2 linked regions of the Callithrix jacchus genome follow. The protein of the gene in region 1 purifies or fractionates together with the protein of each later gene. This does not show direct contact. Links are inferred from orthologs where the notes say so. Each region holds a gene or a part of one and is shown in the gene's direction. Other genes may lie near its edges.

Region 1 (9,562 bases):
GGCCAGGCTGGCCTCGAACGCCTGACCTCAGGTGATCCACCCACTTCCTCCCAAAGTGCTGGGATTATAGGCCTGAGCCACTACGCCCCGCACCCACCTCTGCCTCTCAGAGTGCTGGGATTACAGACATGAGCCACCATGTCTGGCCTCTTGTTGCTTTTTTAAACTGTTGATGTTGACCCAGCCTCTTTGGAAGCTCCTTTATTTATTTATTTTTTTTTTTGAGGCAGAGTTTCGATTTGTGGCCTAGGCTGGAGAGCAGTGGTGTGAGCTCAGCTCACTGCAACCTCCATCTCCCAGGTTCAAGCAGTTCTCCTGCCTCAGCCTCCCCAGTAGCTGGGACTATAGGCATGCACCACCACGCCTGGCTAATTTTGTATTTTTAGTAGAGACAGGGTTTCACCATGTTGGTTAGGCTGCTCTCGAACTCCTGATCTTATGATCAGCCTCCCTCGGCCTCCCAAAGTGTTGGGATTACAAGCGTGAGCCATGGCGCCTGGCCAGAAATTTTTTTTTTGGTAGAGATGGGAGGCTGAAGTGGGTGGATCACCTGAGGTCAGGCGTTCGAGGCCAGCCTGGCCAACATGGTGAAACCCCATCTCTTAAAAAAAAAAAAAAAAGAGAGAGAGAGAGAGGCAGAGGTGGGTAGATCACCTGAGGTCAGGAGGTCAAGACTAGCCTCATCAACCTGGTGAAAACCTGTCTCTACTAAAAATACAAAAATCGGTCTTGTGGTGTTACCCAGGCTGAGGAATTCCTAGGTCAAGGAGTCCTCCTGCCTCAGCCTCCTGAAGTGCTGGGATTACAGGTGTGCACCACTGCGATCAGCCTGATACATATTTTAATAACAAGAAATACATATATTCCTTTTTTGAAGGGGGAAGAAAAAGCTATTTGTGGCTAGCCTGCCACTTACAATGTAAAATTCATGTCTGTGCTGTCTGCATTTCAAGATTAGCTCACAACTGCTGTAGGGACTTATTAAAGGTAAAACATCCCATGACAGTACTGTCTGTCAACACTGAGATGGAAATAAACCTCCATCGACCTCCTAGCAGATAGGTTACATGTGACAGTGCCAAGCTGCGCACATATCTGAAATTCCAGTCTTTGCTGAGATTACTTTACGTTTTATTATGAGATGCCCATACTAACACAAAATACTGTGCTATTTCTTCCTTTTGACCATTTGTATAACCAGTAAAAAAAAAAAAAAAAAGAGAGAATAGGCTGGGCATGGTGGCTCACATCTGTAATCCAAACACTTTGGAGGCCAAGGTGGGCAGATCACCTGAGGTCGGGAGTTCACGACCAGCCTGACCAACATGGTCTTTATAATAATAATTATAAAAGAAATTAAAAAGAAAACCTGTCTTTATAATAATAATTAAAAAAAGAGAATAGAGGCTGGGCTCGGTGGCTCACGCCTGTAATCTCAGCACTTTGGGAGGCGGAGGTGGCTGGATCACTTAAAGTCAGGAGTTGGAGACCAGCCTGGCTAACATGGTGAAACTTCACCTCTACTAAAAATACAAAAAATTAGGCAGGCATAGTGGCTCATGCCTGTAATCCCAGCTATTCAGGAGGGTGAGACAGGAGAATCACCTAAACCTGGGAGCTGAAGGTTGCAGTGAGCTGAGATCATGCCACTGCACTCCAACTCAGTCTCAAAAAAAAAAAAAATAGAATAGAGAATCAAGTCAGATTTTCCTTTGCTAACTGATCATCTGCTAGAAATGACATGCGGTAACACAAAGTTTAAGAAATATGAAAAATGACCTGGCACAGTGGCTCACACCGGTAATCCCAGCACTTTGGGAAGCTGAGGCAAGAGGACCGCTTGAGCCCAGGAGGTCAAGGCTGCAGCGGGTCATGACTGAACCACTGCACCCCAGCCTGAATGACAGAGCAAGATCCTGTCTCAAAAGAAAAAAAAAGAATAGAAAATATAAAGCAATCTTTCATTTTGAAGTATAAAAATTAGAGCCATTAACCAAGTGTTCCAGTTGTCTAAAATGAAGGAGCTGTAGAGGGGAAATTTTCCCTCCGGTCTCTGAGGGTTTGATAACGGAGTCTCTGAGCTAAGCTGACAGTAGACAGATTGACAAGAGAAAAAGTATACAAATTTACAACGCATACTAGGGCAACCCAGAATCCAGTGAGATCTGCAGCTCATGAGTTTTGCCTTCCGAAGAATCGGTGGGGGCCTGTGGCAAAGTCTGTCTGGGCATGGAGCTGAGGTCCCTTGGCACTCTTGTCTGGTGATACCGGTTCTTTCTTCCCTGTGGCTGAGATTTCCAGGAAGGGGGTCAAGACAATTGAGTTCCTTTGGGATGATCTATCTTTATGTGGTTAAGGGGAATTCAGAGAATGCCCCTCCCTGCCTTGGCAGGTCCCCATATGCCCTCGGATCGATGGCATACTAACTTGGTACTCAGTGTACTAGTTATTAATCAGTACCCTAACGTGGCATAATTCGGGGTGGCATTTCTTGAACTCTTTCATTACTAACAGTTCTAATAAACTACAAGTTATTCAAGTGCTAAAGGGCCTTTTACTTGAATATACCCCAGGCTTTAAGTGATCAAGAACTCATCACCGTTGTTAGTTGAGAAGGTGGCTGAGCAGGTCCCTAGAATTCAGTGTCAGCACATCACAGGATCAGGAAAGGCGTGACAAAAAGGGATTTTTATGTCTTAAAGGAAAGTACAAGGTGGGCGGGGACCAAGACAACACAGTAGCAAGCATCTGGCTCAATGCTGGAGAGGAAGACTGGGAGACGCGGGCCAGGCTCCAGTGCATAACTGCTTGTCTGCCTCCTTAGGCTGTGGGTCGACTGCACCCGTTCGCTACTGGAAACGAGTCTGACCGCACGGGGTCGTCTCCACGCGTGTTGTGTTGATCTCCAGGGTTAGAACCAGAACGCATGAGGACGCGGGAAAGACTAGAGGGCCTGGGGCTGACCTAAAGTCCAGCGATCAAAATGCTCTGCGTTTTCAGGAAACTACTGTCACGATTTAATCTAAAAAACCTCATCTGTATTTTCGGCCACAGTTTCCTTCTGTCATCATTACTTGGCGAAGTCTTCACGCTCTCCGGTTCGCCGGGGAACTCAGGGTGACTGGGCTTCCTTAAATTGGGGAGCGGGGACTTGTCTTCCCGGGCCTCTGCTTGGTTTTTTTCCTCCTCAAGCATCTGCCTTCCAAGTGCGGGGATTATACGCATGCGCCATCGCGCCCGGCGCTCTCACTGCCTTATTTGTTTTTAGTTTTCAGACAGTTTTGCTCCTTTTTTTTTTCTGAGACGGAGTTTTGCTCTTCTTACCCAGCCTGGAGTGCAATGGCGCGATCTCGGCTCACCGCAACCTCCGCCTCCTGGGTTCAGGCAATTCTCCTGCCTCAGCCTCCTGAGTAGCTGGGATTACAGGCACGCGCCACCATGCCCAGCTAATTTTTTGTATTTTTAGTAGAGACGGGGTTTCACCATGTTGACCAGGATGGTCTCGATCTCTTGACCTCGTGATCCACCCGCCTCGGCCTCCCAAAGTGCTGGGATTACAGGTGTGAGCCACCGCGCCCGGGTTTCTTTTCTTTTCTTTTTAAAAAGACGGGGTTTCAGCATGTTGGCCAGGCTGGTCTCGAACTTCTGGCCTCAAGTGATCCGCCCGCCTCGGCCTCCCAAAGTGCTGGGGTTACAGGCGTGAGCCACTGCGCCCGGCCTGACAGTTTTGCTCTTGTCTCCCAGGCAAGAGTGTAATAGCGTGATATCGGCTCAAAGCAACCTCAACCTCACGGGTTCAAGCGGTTCTCCTGCTTCAGCCTCTCGAGTAGCTAGGATTACAGGTGTGCGCCACCAGGCCCGGGTCATCTCTGTATTTTAGAGACGGGGGTTTCATTATGTTGGCCAGGCTAGTCTTGAACTCTCGACCTTAGGTGATCTGCCAGCCTCGGCCTTTCAAAGTGCTGTGGTTTCAGGCCTGAGCCACCGCGCCCGGCCCTCTTGCTGCCATTTTTAAACCAGTGATGTTGACCCAGCCTTTTTGGAAGCTTTTTTTTTTTTTTGAGACACAGTCTCGCCCTGTCGCCCAGGCTGGAAGGCGCGCTCTCGGCTGTTCTCAGCCCGCGCCCCAGCTTTCGTCCCGCTGTGGGGAGAGGCCACGCAGCTCCACAGGGGGGCCGCGGGCGAGAGGCGGGGCCAAGAGGAAGGTGAAGGGCGCGAGGAGTTCGCGGTTTCCAGAACCGGTTCCTTCTCGCCCACAACGATCAATCCCTCGTGGAGTCTTCTCGGCCTCCCTGGAGTAGGCCGCCCATTGGCTACGGCGCTTTCGGCACGTCTGGGTTCTCGGGTACCGTAGACGCGGTCTCGAGCTCCGCCCCCTCACCCCCAGCTTCCTGGCCTCCAAGTGGCGGCGGAAGGGCCTAGAACCTTCGCGAAGGTGGGGCGGGCGCCCCGACACCGAGCCCGCGGTATGGGCAGTGGAAACTGCGCATGCGCGGCGTCAGGACCGGGCGGAAGTTGACGATGCTGTGCCGCCGCCGCGTGACGCATTTCCTGTTTGTTGTTGGAGAAAGGAGAGAAAGGAAAGCGCGAGGAGCCGCCGCCACCAGCGCAGTAGTGCTGGAGCCCTGAGGAGATTCGGGCCGTCACCCCCACCTCCCCTGCGTCCCGCCACCGGTCGCCTTCGTCCTCGGTGAGCGTCTACTCCGAGGGTCAGGGAAGGTCGGCCGAGGGCCCCGCGCGCAGCCGGCAGACGGCGGACCTGACCCGGCGCCTCGCAACAGCGTGCGGGGGGTGACCGGGGTCGCCGGCCGGACTAGGGCTGGGCGGGGCGGGGGGGCCGTGGCCCGGGTCGCGGGGCGAAGGGTGGGTGGGGTCCTCTGGGGCTGGGGTTGGGGTTGGGGCTGGGGTCTGGTGCCGCCCGGCCGCGTCCTCCCCGCCCGGCGTCCTTGCTGGAGCGCGGCCCGGCCTCCGCGGCGGCGGTCGGGGGTGGGGGTGGGGCTTGGGCCTGGGAGCGGCCGGCTGGGGCCCGGGGGGCCGGGGGCGGGCACCGTGGGAGGCGTGGAGCGCTTGCTTTTCCTAAGCCTCCCGCACTTGGAGTCTGAAACCAGAAACGCGAGTGGCCGGCGGAGCAGGAATGCGTGTCCACGCCGCCAAGTTCGGAGGGAGAAGGGAGCAGGTGGTGGACTGCAGAGCGCTGTTCCTGGGAATCGCGAAGGGTGGTCAGAAGTTTGTGGATGAGCGGGCTGTTTCTTACTCTGAACGCCGCTCTACTCTGCCTTAAAGAAGCTGTACCGTGGCTCATGCGGCTCAAGTTCATCCAAGTTTATACTAAAACTTACCCAACTAGGAGGTCAGTGACACGCCGAGTGTAAACTGCAGACCATGTGTTGGCTCGAAAAAGGTTTTGGTGCCGGCGCATTTTTTAAAGGATGGATTTGCTAGTCAGATGTAAACTTCATTACTAATTTCCTCATAAACGAGGCAGGAAACAGCCTGAGTAGAAGGACCGTGCCAGCAACGAAGGGTTGCTGCCTGTGAGCCCGGAGGCTTCAGCCTGTTTGGGAAGAGTAGGCTGAGCGGCGCTCTTTGTAGTTCTCATCGTTTTTATTTTATTTTTGAGACGGAGTTTTGCTCTTTTTGTTCAGGCTGGAGTGCTGTGGCACGATCTCGACTCACCGCAACCTCCGCCTCCCGGATTGAAGCAATTCTCCCGCCTCAGCCTCCGGAGTAGCTGGGATCACAGGCATGCACTACCACGCCCAAGCTATTTTTGTATTTTTAGTGGAGACGGAGGTTCTCTATGTTGGTCAGGCTGGTCTCGAACTCCTGGTCTCAAGTGATCTGCCTGCCTCAGCCTCCCAAAGTGCTGGGATTACAGGCGTGAGTCACCGCGTCCCGCAGACTCTAGCCTTCATTGTTTACACTCTTGAGAGCCTTAAGCTTCCTTGGAGTTGGTGCTTTCACATTTCTTTCTGCCTTTTGTGATAAAAGGATGAATGCTTTTTATACACAGCGTAATGAGCTGTGCGTTTTTATGGATTATGTCGAATGTGAAATTTGGGAATTACGTTGCCTTCAATTGGTACATGTGGAGACTTGACAGGAAGTGGGAGAATAAAAGGTTGAGAAGCTTTTGAAAAATGCCCAACTAGGTTTAGTCTGCTGTGGAAGGTAAGAAAGTTGGGAATTTCAGAGGGCAAAACTTCTAAAATATTTGAAGGTCGGACATGTAGGTTCACGCCTGTAATCCCAGTACTTTGGGAGGCCGAGGCGGACAGATAACCTGAGGCCCGGAGTTTTATCAGCCTGACCAACATGGGGAAACTCCATCAATACCTAAAATACAAATAATTAGCGGGGTGTGGTGGCGTATACCTGTAATCCCAACTACACGGGCGGCTGAGGCGGGAGAATCGCTTGAACTTGGGAGGCGGAGGTTGCAGTCAGCTGAGATCGTGCCGTTGCGTTCCAGCCTGGGCAACGAGAGCAAAACTCCGTCTCAGAAAACGAAAACAAACCAAAAAAATTGGGATGAGTTCAGAACCCTCTTCAAAACGTCAGTATTTAAAAATTTATTCTGGATATGAAAGTGTTAGGTTTGGGAAGTAATTCTGGCTGTAGGGCAGTTTTTTTTGGAACACTGGGGAGTGTTGTTGAATATTGTACAGACTAAGATACGGCTATGGTATTACAGTGTGATACCTGTAACTGAGTGGCATACGTTAGCTTGTGTTTTTAAGCAAGCACTTAGTCCCTTGTATTAACTCTGGACAGTTTCAAATGACAGTGGTACCCGTCACCCCCATCAGTTTTCAAGGAAGATAACGCAAATCCAGGTTTGGGGTATGGGGTGGGATGGTCTGTTTGCACCTTTTTTATTTTTGAGATGGAGTTTCGTTCTTGTTGCCCAGGCTGGAGTACAGTGGCGCCATCTTGGCTCACTGCACCCTCCCCCTCCCAGGCTCAAGGGATTCTCCCACCTCAGCCTCCGGAGTAGCTGGGATTTACAGGCACCCGCCATCACACCCGGCTAATTTTTGTATTTGTAGTAGAGATGGGGTTTTCCCATGTTGGCCAGGCTGCTCTCAAACTCCTGACCTCAGGTGATGCACTGTCTTGGCCTCCCAAAGTGCTCGGATTACAGGCGTGAGCCCCCGCTTCCAGCTGTCATGTATTTATTTACTTTTTTTGTTGTCATTTTAAAAGATTTTTTAACAAGAGGGCACTTTAAAACTTGGGCAGGTATTTTTAGTCATCCTGAACATGTCGCTGTGGACTGAGTGTAACCCGCCTGACCGCACAGACAACGCCTTACTGTGGTCAGCAGTAAAGGTCAGCTTCTGTATTGGCTATTGCTTACGCGTATCTGTTGAGGAATAAGAGAATATAGTCAGTCTTTGTGAGTTGATGTTTTGACAGGATTTTTACTTTTTAATATTTATTTGCATCCAGGTTAGACACTGGATTAACAGGATTTTAAAAAAACATTTTTAAAACTTTTATTTTCTGAGAAATGATTCTGTTCAAAATCGGTTTGTTTAAATTTGTCCAGGACACCACCTTGTGGTGAGAGGCGGGTAACTGCAGGCTTTTTAGCGAGTAAGAAGAGTGGCAGGATTTGGCAAATGCTGTACTTGATGAATAGAACTTGAGAATCTCAGACTTAAAAAGAGGTTAATGAGACGAAAAGCAAAGTTGGTGAAAACAAGAATATGTTAGAAACGATGATGTAGGAATAGAAAAATGACGCCTACCTAGAAAAAATGATTTTCTGGATAAGTCAACTAGGAAAAATTGATGCGTTCCTTGTATTGATATTAATGAGGTGTTTTGTCAGAATCCTATGTTTTTGTATGGACATAAATCATGGTTGATCTTTTTCATGTTCTTGGAGACGTCCTAGTTGAGAAGTAAGTTGTTTTTTTTTTTCTAAAAAAATTTTTTTATTTAAATATGGAACTGCTTCATTAATTTCCATGTCATCCTTACGCAGGGGCCGTGCTAATCTTCTGCATCGTTCCAGTTTTTTTTTTTTTTTGAGACGGAGTTTCGCTCTTGTTACCCAGGCTGGAGTGCAATGGCACGATCTCGGCTCACCGCAACCTCTGCCTCCTGGGTTCAGGCAATTCTCCTGCCTCAGCCTCCTGAGTAGCTGGGATTACAGGCACGTGCCACCATGCCCAGGTAATTTTTTTTGTATTTTTAGTAGAGACGGGGTTTCACCATGTTGACCAGGATGGTCTCGATCTCTTGACCTCGTGATCCACCCGCCTCGGCCTCCCAAAGTGCTGGGATTACAGGCGTGAGCCACCGCGCCTGGCCCTATTATTTTTAAAATATATTTTTTTGAGTTAGGGTTTTACTCTCACCCAGACTGGGCAATCTCAGTTCACCCCATCTTCTGCCTCTTAGGCTCAAGCGATTCTCCTGCTTCATCTTTCTGGGTAGCTGGGATTACAGGTGTGCTCCACTACCACCTAGCTATTTATTTTATTTTTTTTGTTTTGGGGTTTTGCTCTCATTGCCCAGGCTGGAGTGCAATGGTGCGACCTTGGCTCACTCCAACCTCCGCCTCCCGGGTTCAAGCAGTTCTCCTGCCTCAGTCTTCCGAATAGCTGGGATTACAGGCATGCTACCATGTCCGGCTAATTCTGCATTTTTTTTTTTTTTTTTTAAGTTTAGGTTTTTATTGAACACATTATAAAAGAGGTTTAGTCAAAAAGACCAAAGCCCATATCATCATCAGACTCCTCGGATTCTTCTTTCTTTGCTTCTACTTTCTTCTCCTCAGCCGGAGCAGCAGCAGTGGAGAGGGCAGGACCTCCTGCTGGTGCAGCACCAGCTGCTGGAGCAGACCCACCAGCCCCTTCGTTGCAGATGAGGCTCCCAGTGTTGACATTGGCCAGGGCCTTTGCAAACAAGCCAGGCCAAAAAGGTTCAACATTTACACGGGCTGCTTTAATGAGGGCATTGATCTTATCCTCTGTGACGGTCACCTCATCGTCATGCGGAATGAGGGCCGAGTAGATGCAGGTGAGCTCGGAGACGGAGGCCATGGTGCGGGTGAGTGTGGGGCTAGCGCTGCCGGACGTGGTGCTAGTCGCCGGATGAAGGAGGGTCTCACCCCAATGCGGCCTTAACTTCCTCTGAAGAACTGAGCACTTTGGTGTCAGCTGAGGAAAGTAATTGTGCATTTTTACTAGAGACGGGGTTTCACCATGTTGACCAGGCTGGTCTTGAACTCCTGACCTCAAATGATCCACCTGCCTCGACTTCCCAAAGTGTTGGGATTACAGATGTGAGCCACTGAGCCTGGCCAATTACTATGTTTTTTTTTTTTTTTTCTTGTTACCCAGGCTGGAGTGCAATGGTGCGATCTCGGCTCACCGCAACCTCCGCCTCCTGGGTTCAAGCAATTCTCCTGCCTCAGCCTCCTGAGTAGCTGGGACTACAGGTGCACGCCACCATGCGCAGCTAATTTTTTTGTATTTTTAGTAGAGATGGGGTTTCACCATGTTGGCCAGGATGGTCTTGATCTCTTGACCTCATGATCCACCTGCGT
Region 2 (9,793 bases), on another chromosome or scaffold:
GCTGTACCCTCTCAAGGACTTCCTGACTTTGGCTCCATCAGATAGAATAGTGAATGTAGGAACTTTGTTTCTCTTCCTTTCCAACAATCCTTATCTGTCTTATATTGAGCCTCACCCCTGACAGGGCCTACTCTCCCTTCTACATCTTACCTATGGGACACTGTTCACCACCGTTCACTGGACAGAAAGGAAGGAAAGAGAAAGGAAGAGAGAAAAAGAAAGAGAGAGACAGGAAGGGAGGGAAAGAAAGAGGGAGGGAGGGAAAGAGAGAGGGAGAGAGGGAAAGAGGGAGGGAGGGAATGAGCGGGAGAGAGGGAGGGAGGGAAAGAGGGAGAGAGGGAGGGAGGGAAAGAGGGAGAAAGAAAAAGAGAGGGGAAGAAGAGGGAAGAAGGGAGACAGGAAGACAGTGAAGGAGAGGAGAGGAAAGGAAATGAAGGAGAGGGAAAGACAGGGAGAAGGAAGACAGACAAAAACTCTGGTTACTTGCAAAATTCCATCCCTTCAATTCCTGGAGTAGACACCTGTCTATATGGTATGTCTTCAAGAACTCTGACAATGAGCTCTTGCATTTCCTCTTTCATTCTCACCTGTTCAAGAGTTTTTCTTTCTTTCTTTTTCTTTTTGAGAGACAGGGCCTTGCTCTCACCCAGGCTGGAGTGCAGAGGTGTGATCATGGCTCCAGCAATCCTCCCCACTCAACCCTGAGTCACTGGGACTATAAGCACACACCATCACATCTGGCTAATTTTTTTACTGCAAAGATGAGGTCTCACTATGTTGCCCAAGCTGGTCTCCAACTCAGGACTCAAACGAGCCTCCTGCCTTGGCCTCCCAAAGTGTTGGAATTACAGGTGTGAGTCACTGTGCCTGATCAACAATTTCTTTCTTTTTTTATTGAGACGGAGTCTTGCTCTGTTGCCCAGGCTAGAGTGCGATGGCAAGATCTCAGCTCACTGCAACCTCTGCCACCTAGGTCCAAGTGATTCTCCTGCCTCAGCCTCCCAAGTATCTGGGACTATAGGCACATGCCTCCATGCCCTGCTAATGTTTTGTGTGTATTTAGTAGAGACTGGGTTTCGACATGTTGGCCAGGCTGGTCTGGAACTCCTGACCTCAAGTGATTGGCCCACCTCCACCTCCCGAAGTGCTGGGATTACAGGTGTGAGCTACCGCACCTAGCCAACAATTTCTTTTTAATCTGGGACAAAACCTAGGTTTTAAGCTTTGTTTTTCATAGTTAGAAACTAACTATGATTTGAAACCATTCAAAGGTAAACATCGCTGATGGCAGATTTTTTTTTTTTTTTTTTTTTTTTTTTGAGACAGTTTCACTCTTGGCACCCAGGCTGGTATGCAATGGTGAGGTCTCAAAAAAAAAAAAATAAATAAATAACAGGTAACCAAAAAAGAAAAAGGTGGCTAGAAGATTGTATGCCTTAAATTGGTAGAGACTGGTCGGGCGCGGTGGCTCACGCCTATAATCCCAGCACTTTGGGAGGCCAAGGCGGGTAGATCATGAGGTCAAGAGATCGAGACCATCCTGATAAACAAGGTGAAACCCTGTCTCTACTAAAAATACAAAAATTAGCCGGGCATGGTGGTGTGCACCTGTAGTCCCAGCTACTCGGGAGGCTGAGGCAGGAGAATTGCTTGAACCCAGGAGGCGGAGGTCGCGGTGAGCCAAGATCGTGCCATTGCACTCCAGTCTGGGTAACAAGAGCGAAACTCTGTCTCAAAAAAAAAAAAAAATTGGTAGACTGTGTCTTATACTTTTGTATGTATGCGTAATACAGTGTACCTAGGACAGTGCTGAGCCTCATTAAACTTTCTTTTTTTATTTTTATTTTTTATCTTTTTGGAGACAGTCTCACTTTATCCCCCAGGCTGGAGTGCAGTGGTGTGATCTTGGCTCACTGCAGCCTCCATCTCCCAGGTTCAAGTGATTCTCCTGCCTCAGCCTTTCAAATGGCTGGGATACAGGTGCCTGCTAATTTTTTTTTTGAGACAGAGTCTCACTCTGTCACTCAGGCTGGAGTGCAGCGGCATGATTACCTCACTGCAGCCTCTGCGACCCAGGTTCAAGCAATTCTCCTGCCTCAGCCTCCTAAGTAGCTGGGATTACATGTGTGTGCCACCACGCCCAGCTAATTTTTAGTAGAGACGGGGTTTCACCTTGTTGGTCAGGCTGGTCTTGAACTTGTGACCTCGTGATCCGCCTGCCTCAGCGTCCCAAAGTGCTGTGATTACAGGCATGAGGCACCGTGGCCAATCTTAAACATTTGTTGATTGGCTGGACAATAAATAACTTGCTTTAAGAGGAGAAGAGGACCAAAAAAAAAAGTCGATAGGATCTCCTTAGTTAAGTTTCAGCCACAGAACCTTTACTAGGAACAACTCCTTTTCACATGTCAAACTGCTTTCGTTTGGGGAAGAGGATAAGGGGAAGTTGCATGGTGGGATGTCCAGAGATAGAGCATCTGGAAGATAAAATATTTTGCTGTCTCTTCCCCAGAAATAGCAATGAAAAACAAATTTACTTGTATTCTGTTTTCCTTTGACTGGACAGCCTGCCAGCTTAGATCTTAATTATCTGTCTCTGCTCCCTGTCTCTATTATTGTTGTTTCCTCTTTAATAATGGTCAAGTCCAAAGAAACCTGAGAAGCCCTGTTCCTAGCACCTTTTCCTGAGTCACCAGGGACCCCCTCCTTCTCCCCCAGGGAATTACTGGAAACAAGTCTTTCTCCTTGGGTCAGGCTCCACACAGCACTAATATGGCTAATCGCCAGAGTAAAGAACAGGGAAAGCTGGAGTTTGGATGAGTCTGGTTAAAGTCCATGCTAGACAGTCCAAATCCCTTGACCCCAAGTGGGAGGGCCCTTCTCTCCAGCAGAGCCAGATTTATGCAAGACATTTAGTATGTCAAAGTATCAGTCTCTAGCCTTGGAGGCAGCTCTCCTGGGTCCCGTTTTAGCTCCTCCCCTGGGTGATCCAGGTTAATTGAGCTCTCCACTCCTTTCTTCTCAAAAACTTTAGACCTTTGACCTAAGAAAGCAAGCAAGAAAGGTCAGTGCAGGACTGGGAGCTCTTGAGGACGCAAGAATTAGAGTAAAAGGAAGGGAAGATTGGCATTAAACGAATAGACTTCAGAACTGTAGCCTTTTCCCGGTCCAACCCTTCACAGATGGGTAATGGGGAAGGGTCCAAGTCCCTCTCCAAAGCCAGTTCTCAAGGGCCTCGGGTTCCAGCCTGGCCGAGGAGCGCCATCTGGCGGCCAATCCGCAACCTGGATTCTCTGCCTCATCGGATTTTCTGAAGCCCTAACCAGATCTGAGCTGGAGAGTTTCACCTCCTCCTCTTCGTCACTCCGGGGACTCCGCCCTGCCAGGAACTCTCCTCTTCAAGGGGGTACAGGCCCAAGCGCCTCACCCGCAGGAAAGCTGCCCATCCTCCCTCCAGGGTAGAACGCTTTTCCAGTAGTCTGCTTAAAGCTTCCCCCAGGGATCCGCCCCGCCTGGTGGCCCAGAGAGCCTGCCCCTCGTCCTCCAGTTTCCCCTGGAGGAAGGAGAGGGAACGTGCTGCACTGCGCCCCCAAGTTCAACCCCCAACTCGGTCCCTCCCGAGGAATAGATTCCTCTTCTCCTTCCCCCCGAGCCTTTGGGAGCCTCTTCCAGTGCACAGAACCCAAATCCAGGTTACTAATGAGCTCCCCTTACTCGTGCAAAGGGAACCCCCGCCCGGACTCAGGCTCCGCTCCCCTGAGTTTGGCCCCAAGCCCCCGGCCCCGCCGCCCCTGGGACGCGGCCACAGGCTTCTCACCACCCACGCCAGTGGGCGGGGCTCCCACGGCCCGGCCCCGGGTGGGCGGTTGCACGATGACGTCACTTCCGCCCGGGCCTGGCCGAGGTTCTTGCTCCGTAGGCCGAGGGGTGGTACGGAGGTGGCAGCTGTGGGAAGAGGCGGCGCGGGAGGCCGCAGAGCTCGAGCTCGGACCAATCCCCGCGTCCCGGGCCGCGATCCTGACCCTGCAGCGCACCGGGAAGCGAAACCGGCCGGATGGGCCGCTGAGCCCGAATCGGGCACTGGTGAGGCTCCGGCAGAGCGGGCAGCCAGGGACGGGAGCGGGCCCGCGGGGTTGCAGGGTCTGGAAGCCGGGGATGCGGGGCCGGGAGAGGAGAGGCTCAGGCCTACCTCTCCTGCCCGCCTGCCGGGGAGGCGGGAGCTGGGCGAGCCGCAGACGGGCGCTGGGGGCACAGTGAGGCCTGCCTGGGGGAGGCCTGGGTATAAGGAGGGGGCGGGTGACTGGGGTCATTAATGGGACGGAGGACCGGCACTTAGGATTCTTATCTAGAACGGTGACGTTGGGGGAGGAGGGGAGAGTATGCAACCGGCCAGAGCTTTGGGAAGAGGATGACTGAGTGGGGGAGGGAGAAACCCAGAGGCTTGGAAAAATTTTCCATGGCCCTAATTGAGAGAGAGGTTTGAAGAGCTCTTCTCTCCCTAGAGGGTTGTGTGGAACACCTGTAGTAGGGTCTCCCCGGAGTTTAGAGGGTCAGTTACAAGGTTTGGGAAAGGCCAGTGCGGAGAGTCCTTACACTGAGTGGGTGTGCAAAAGCCTGGCCACCTCCACGTACCTGAGCCTCCACACCTTTCCAGTGTGGAGCTCCCCGGAGCTGAGATCAGGATGTTCCGCTTCATGAGGGATGTGGAGCCTGAGGATCCCATGTTCCTGATGTGAGTATTCCCTCCCCCTCAAGCTCTCCCACTCCAGGTCTCTGAGCAGTTAAGGCAGACATCTGGGTTCCCATTGCTGGGAATGGTTGGAACTGGTTGGATACCCAGCTCCCCCCTAGCAGGAAGTAGCCTATTGGTGCCACTGTTGCCCTGTGCGTATTTTTTTGCAGGGTGGTGGAGGGATTGACAGCTTGGTGCTTCTGCCATCCATACTATGTGCTCACTTCACAGGGACCCCTTTGCTATTCACCGTCAGCATATGAGCCGTATGTTGTCAGGTGGCTTTGGATATAGCCCCTTCCTCAGCATCACAGATGGCAACATGCCAGGGACCAGGCCTGCCAGCCGCAGGATGCAGCAGGTAATGGTGCTGAGACACACCTGAGACCCAAAGGTTGGAGGGTGGTTAGGAAGGCACATTAGTTTTCTTGCCCTACAGCTAACTGAACAAGTGAAATGCTCTAGGAGTGGGGGAAAGGGTCAGGAAAAAGAGCTTTATGACTCCCTTTCGAGAGGATGGAAAACAAAAATTGAGGCCATGGGCCTGGTTTGGGATTGTAAGGAGATAGGATGAAGTCTCTAATTTCTGTTCCTCATGTGTTCCTGTAGACTGGAGCTGTCTCCCCCTTTGGGATGCTGGGAATGGTGAGTCCTCATCTCCCTTGGGCCTTCCATTTCACACACACTCTCTACCCTTAGATATTATTCCCAAATTTGCCTCTTTGGCATAGTTTCATGGGTAACCCCAGAATCTTCTTTTCATGATGTTCACAAAGCTCTGAGCCTTTTAGATGCTAGGAGCCCTGTGGATTAAAGGTGTTATTTTTATTATTTTTTTTTTTGAGACAGCATCTTGCCCTGTCACCCAGGGTGGAGTGCAGTGGCATGATCTCAGCTCACTGCAACCTCCACCTCCCAGGTTCAAGTGATTCTCGTGCCTCAGCCCTCTGAGTAGCTGTGATTACAGGCAGAGCCACCATGCCCCTTTTTTGTATTTTTAGTAGAGACAGGGTTTCACCATGTTGGCCAGGCTGGTCTTGAACTCCTGACCTCAAGTGATCCGCCCGCCTCAGCCTCCCAGAATGCTGGGATTATAGGCGTGAGTGCTGGGATTACAGGTGTAGGCCACTGTACCTGGCGAAAGGTGTTACTAAGTCTGGTTGGGAGGCTGAGACGGCTGATAACTTGAGGTCAGGAGTTTGAGACCAGACTGGCCAACATGGTGAAACCTCGTCTCTACTAAAAATACCAAAAAAGCCAGGCATGGTGGTGCATGCCTGTAGTCCCAGCTATGCTGGAGGCTGAGAATCGCTTGCACCCAGGAGACAGAGGTTGCGGAGAGCTGAGACTTCACCACTGCACACCAGCCTGGGCAACAGAGCCAGACTCCATCTCAAAAAAAAAAAAGAAAAGATGTTATTAACTCTTGTACTCCTAGAAGTTCATACTCATTAGGAAGATGTAATTGTCTAGCAAAATCTGGTCTTTGCCTTATCTCTTTAGAGTTTAGAATCCATTAACTTTGGCTTGCTTCCTAAAGATCGGGGGGAATACAGAAGGCAGGAAAAGGAAAATTGAATCCGAGCAGTCATAGAGACTGAGGAGGGGTCAGCAGCTTACTGGAGGAGAAACATGAGTATTCTGGTTCTGTTAAGGGAGAATGAGAAAGACTACTTGCTAGATGTGAAGGAAGATGAAATGTGCAGCCATGTGGCTCGTGGGTTCCTAAACAGGATCAGCTCTGAACACTGACTTTGCTTTCCTGACTATGTTCCATCTCTTTCCTCCAGTCCGGTGGCTTCATGGACATGTTTGGGATGATGAACGACATGATTGGTAACATGGTGAGCCTTGCCCCACACCCTTCCCTGGCCTTGCTCTCAGTGATGGCTGACAACACCTTGAACCCTCTAAGGCAAGAGGGAGACAGAATGCTAGTGAAGGGTAAAGTACTGGATAAAGTAATTGAAGCAGAGAGCCTTGGGGACCGTGTATCTGCTGTCATGCCTGCCTGAAGCAGCAGCAGCACTTTTATGTAGCATACAATTAAGTCTCTGTCTCTTCAGGTCCTTCTTGACTGTGATTGGACTGAGAGGAATTTGGGAGGGTAAAATGAGTCCTGATGTTTTTTCAGTTGTTACATTTTGTGAGAAAGATACAGGCTAGAACAGGGAGCTGAAGGGTGAAATCCTTCACCAGGGGGGAAGTGCCTCCTCATTCAGCCCTCCCCTACCTACCCTGTCCTTAGGAACACATGACAGCTGGAGGCAATTGCCAGACCTTCTCATCTTCTACTGTCATCTCCTACTCCAATACCGGCGATGGTGCCCCCAAGGTTTACCAAGAGACATCAGAGATGCGCTCGGCACCAGGCGGGGTGAGCCCTCCTATCCCAGAGAACTTGGGATTGAGTGGCACTCACAGAAACCCTGGCTGCTTTTTTCGGATTGGGTTGTGGGTGGTGTGTTTATCCTGAGATGGCCAGGGCTTTGGAAGGGGTGGCTGAGTGTACCATGTTCTGCCTCATCCCAGATCCGGGAGACACGGAGGACTGTTCGGGATTCAGACAGTGGACTGGAACAGATGTCCATCGGGCATCACATCCGGGACAGGGCTCACATCCTCCAGCGCTCCCGAAACCATCGCACAGGGGACCAGGAGGAGCGGCAGGACTATATCAACCTGGATGAGAGTGAGCCTTCCCTCCCACTTCCTGGCTGGCATTCCCTAGTAGGAGACTTCCCTACCCCATAAACTTCTGGGCAAAGCTCTGGGTCAACCCCATATTCTTTTGCTTTCTTTTCTTTTTTTTTTTTGAGATGGAGTCTCACTCTTGTTGCCCAGGTGTCCAGGCTGCAGTGCAATGGCATGATTTCAGCTCAGTGCAACCTCCTCCTCCTGGGTTTAAGCAATTCTGCCTCAACCTTCCAAGTAGCTGGGATTACAGGCACGCACCACACGCCCAGCTAATTTCTATATTTTTAGTAGAGACAGCATTTCACCATGTTGACCAGGCTGGTCTCAAACTCCTGACCTCAGGTGATCCACCTGCCTCGGCCTCCTAAAGTCCTGGGATTACAGGCAGGAGCCACCATGCCCAGCTGTAGGCCCATATTCTTACTGCATTTGGAACCTCCTCAGCTCAGGGGCTGTGTCAGACGGGGCTGAGTCAGGTGCTGGCAGTGTCCTCACTGTGAGGGGCTGACTTTGTCCCTGAGGTTCCGTGTTGATAGGGTTACACCCTTCTCCATTTGGATCCGTTTTTTTCTTTCTCCTCTCTTTATCTTTTTCAAATCCACAGTTATTAAGTACCTAGTGTGCACGTAGGACTATGAACCTGAAGAATAATATTCTGATTTCTTCCTCCAGTAGGCCACCTTAGGCCTACCAGTGGCTTCCCGGGACCATGTAGAAACCAAAAGAGCTAATGGAATTGCCGCCATGCACACACACTCAGCCTTCACGGCTTTGGCCAGAGAAGCTGTGGCTGGCTCGCACATCGGCCTCCAGGAGTGAGGCTGCACACAGGCCTCATGTCCACTCTGTCTTCTCCAGGTGAGGCCGCAGCGTTTGATGACGAGTGGCGGCGGGAGACGTCCCGATTCCGGCAGCAGCGCCCCCTGGAGTTTCGACGGCTTGAGTCCTCAGGGGTGGGGGGACGAAGGGCGGAGGGACCACCCCGCCTGGCCATCCAAGGACCTGAGGACTCCCCTTCCCGACAGTCCCGCCGCTATGACTGGTGAGGGCCCTGGGCCCTCAGCCTTTCTTGTAAGTATCAGGGTAAGGAGGGCGGGAGTGCACCTGCAGATGGTCTTCTGCCACGAGGCAGGCGCAGCCTGGGCTCCCAGAGGAGCTGCGTTTGACAGTACAAGTCTTAGTTGGCTGGAAAGAGAACAATGTTCTCACTGGAATCGGGATTAAACCCAACTCCTGGCCTGTGTATAAGTTTTTTCTTCCTTTTGACTTGTGTTCCTCTCTCTTTCTCCCTCCAGGTACAGGCTGAGAGGCTGAGAAATCATCCCCTGAAATAACTTTTTCCTCTCTGAATCCCATCCCCAATTTAATAGTAAATTAACAGGCAAGCCGGCCCCCACCTCTCCCTGGGGGTCTCAGGGAGAACCTTTCACTGCACCCTTTCCCTCCTTTTTCCTTTCCTTCTTTAATCCCCTTACCATGATGAGTCCGCCTCTGCATCTACTAACTTGATTTTTCATTCTGCCACTCCGTCTTCAAATGAAACACCCTCACCTTTCCCATTCTACTCCTGCCATGCATTGAAGGGTCTTTTGGGGTGAGCTCTGGGTTTAGGGGCCTCCTCCATCCCTCGGCTACCCTGGATCTTTGCCCACCTCTTCCTCAGAGCCCCCATTGAGGGGCCGTAGCCCTGTCCAGGGCTGTGAAAGGAGCAGACTGGTTCCCAACTCTCTCCCTCCTCCTGCCCACACACATCACAAGACTTTTCCCTACACCCTTACTTTTTGATTTGTGCAACTTGTAACTAGGTGTTTATGGAATAAAGGAGAATGGAAAAAAAACCAAGTGGGATGGTGGCTGTACTTTTGATCTTTTCCTGTTCAATTAAACCCTCCTGTCTCCTTTGGAGTTACCCTCTCACTTTTCCTCATTTCACATGTAACGTCAGCGTTCAAGCCCACAACTCTGTGGTGCGGACAGTGGGACCATCAGCACTTGGCTGGGCTAGGCTGGGGTGTGAGAACAAGAGCACCTGCCTCGCTGGCTCTCCCCTCACATTCTGCTGTAACTTTGCTCTTCAGGGATGTGTCGGGCATCTCTCACAGGTGCCTGCAGAACTTGCTGCCCCTTGCACCTTCCACAGTTTCCTTCCTGCACTGTGGGTGGAAACACCTACAGATAACCCTACACAGGACTTCAGAGGGGAGGAACTCTGGTCAGCAGCGTTCCACAAACCCTTCACCCACAGCAGTTGAGAATTTGAGCCCGGGGAAGGAGGCTAGAGGAGAAAACAAACCTGGAACCTGAGCAGGACTGGAAGGGTACAAGGAGCTCACATTTCTCAAGATGTTCACTCTTGCTTTGCCC

What was found. The genes of interacting proteins can lie anywhere in the genome.
Region 2: the proteins of DNAJB6 (region 1) and MLF2 purify together in Homo sapiens (affinity purification with mass spectrometry; 3 studies listed by BioGRID and IntAct, with this or other methods). This does not show direct contact. The link is inferred for Callithrix jacchus from reciprocal best matches to the Homo sapiens genes DNAJB6 and MLF2.

What each region holds. Positions count from the first base shown.
Region 1 is NC_133512.1:90,922,100-90,931,661, reverse strand, and holds the start of DNAJB6 (dnaJ homolog subfamily B member 6), read left to right. Parts: upstream 1-4,553; 5' UTR 4,554-4,690; intron 4,691-5,087; exon of another isoform or gene 5,088-5,350; intron 5,351-5,645; 5' UTR 5,646-5,743; intron 5,744-7,948; exon of another isoform or gene 7,949-8,052; intron 8,053-8,689; exon of another isoform or gene 8,690-9,111; intron 9,112-9,562. UniProt on the Homo sapiens protein: Has a stimulatory effect on the ATPase activity of HSP70 in a dose-dependent and time-dependent manner and hence acts as a co-chaperone of HSP70. Plays an indispensable role in the organization of KRT8/KRT18 filaments.
Region 2 is NC_133510.1:21,019,598-21,029,390, reverse strand, and holds MLF2 (myeloid leukemia factor 2), read left to right. Parts: upstream 1-3,929; 5' UTR 3,930-4,083; intron 4,084-4,654; 5' UTR 4,655-4,682; coding exon 4,683-4,732; intron 4,733-4,963; coding exon 4,964-5,093; intron 5,094-5,341; coding exon 5,342-5,377; intron 5,378-6,522; coding exon 6,523-6,576; intron 6,577-6,980; coding exon 6,981-7,109; intron 7,110-7,264; coding exon 7,265-7,424; intron 7,425-8,287; coding exon 8,288-8,475; 3' UTR 8,476-8,500; intron 8,501-8,724; 3' UTR 8,725-9,334; downstream 9,335-9,793.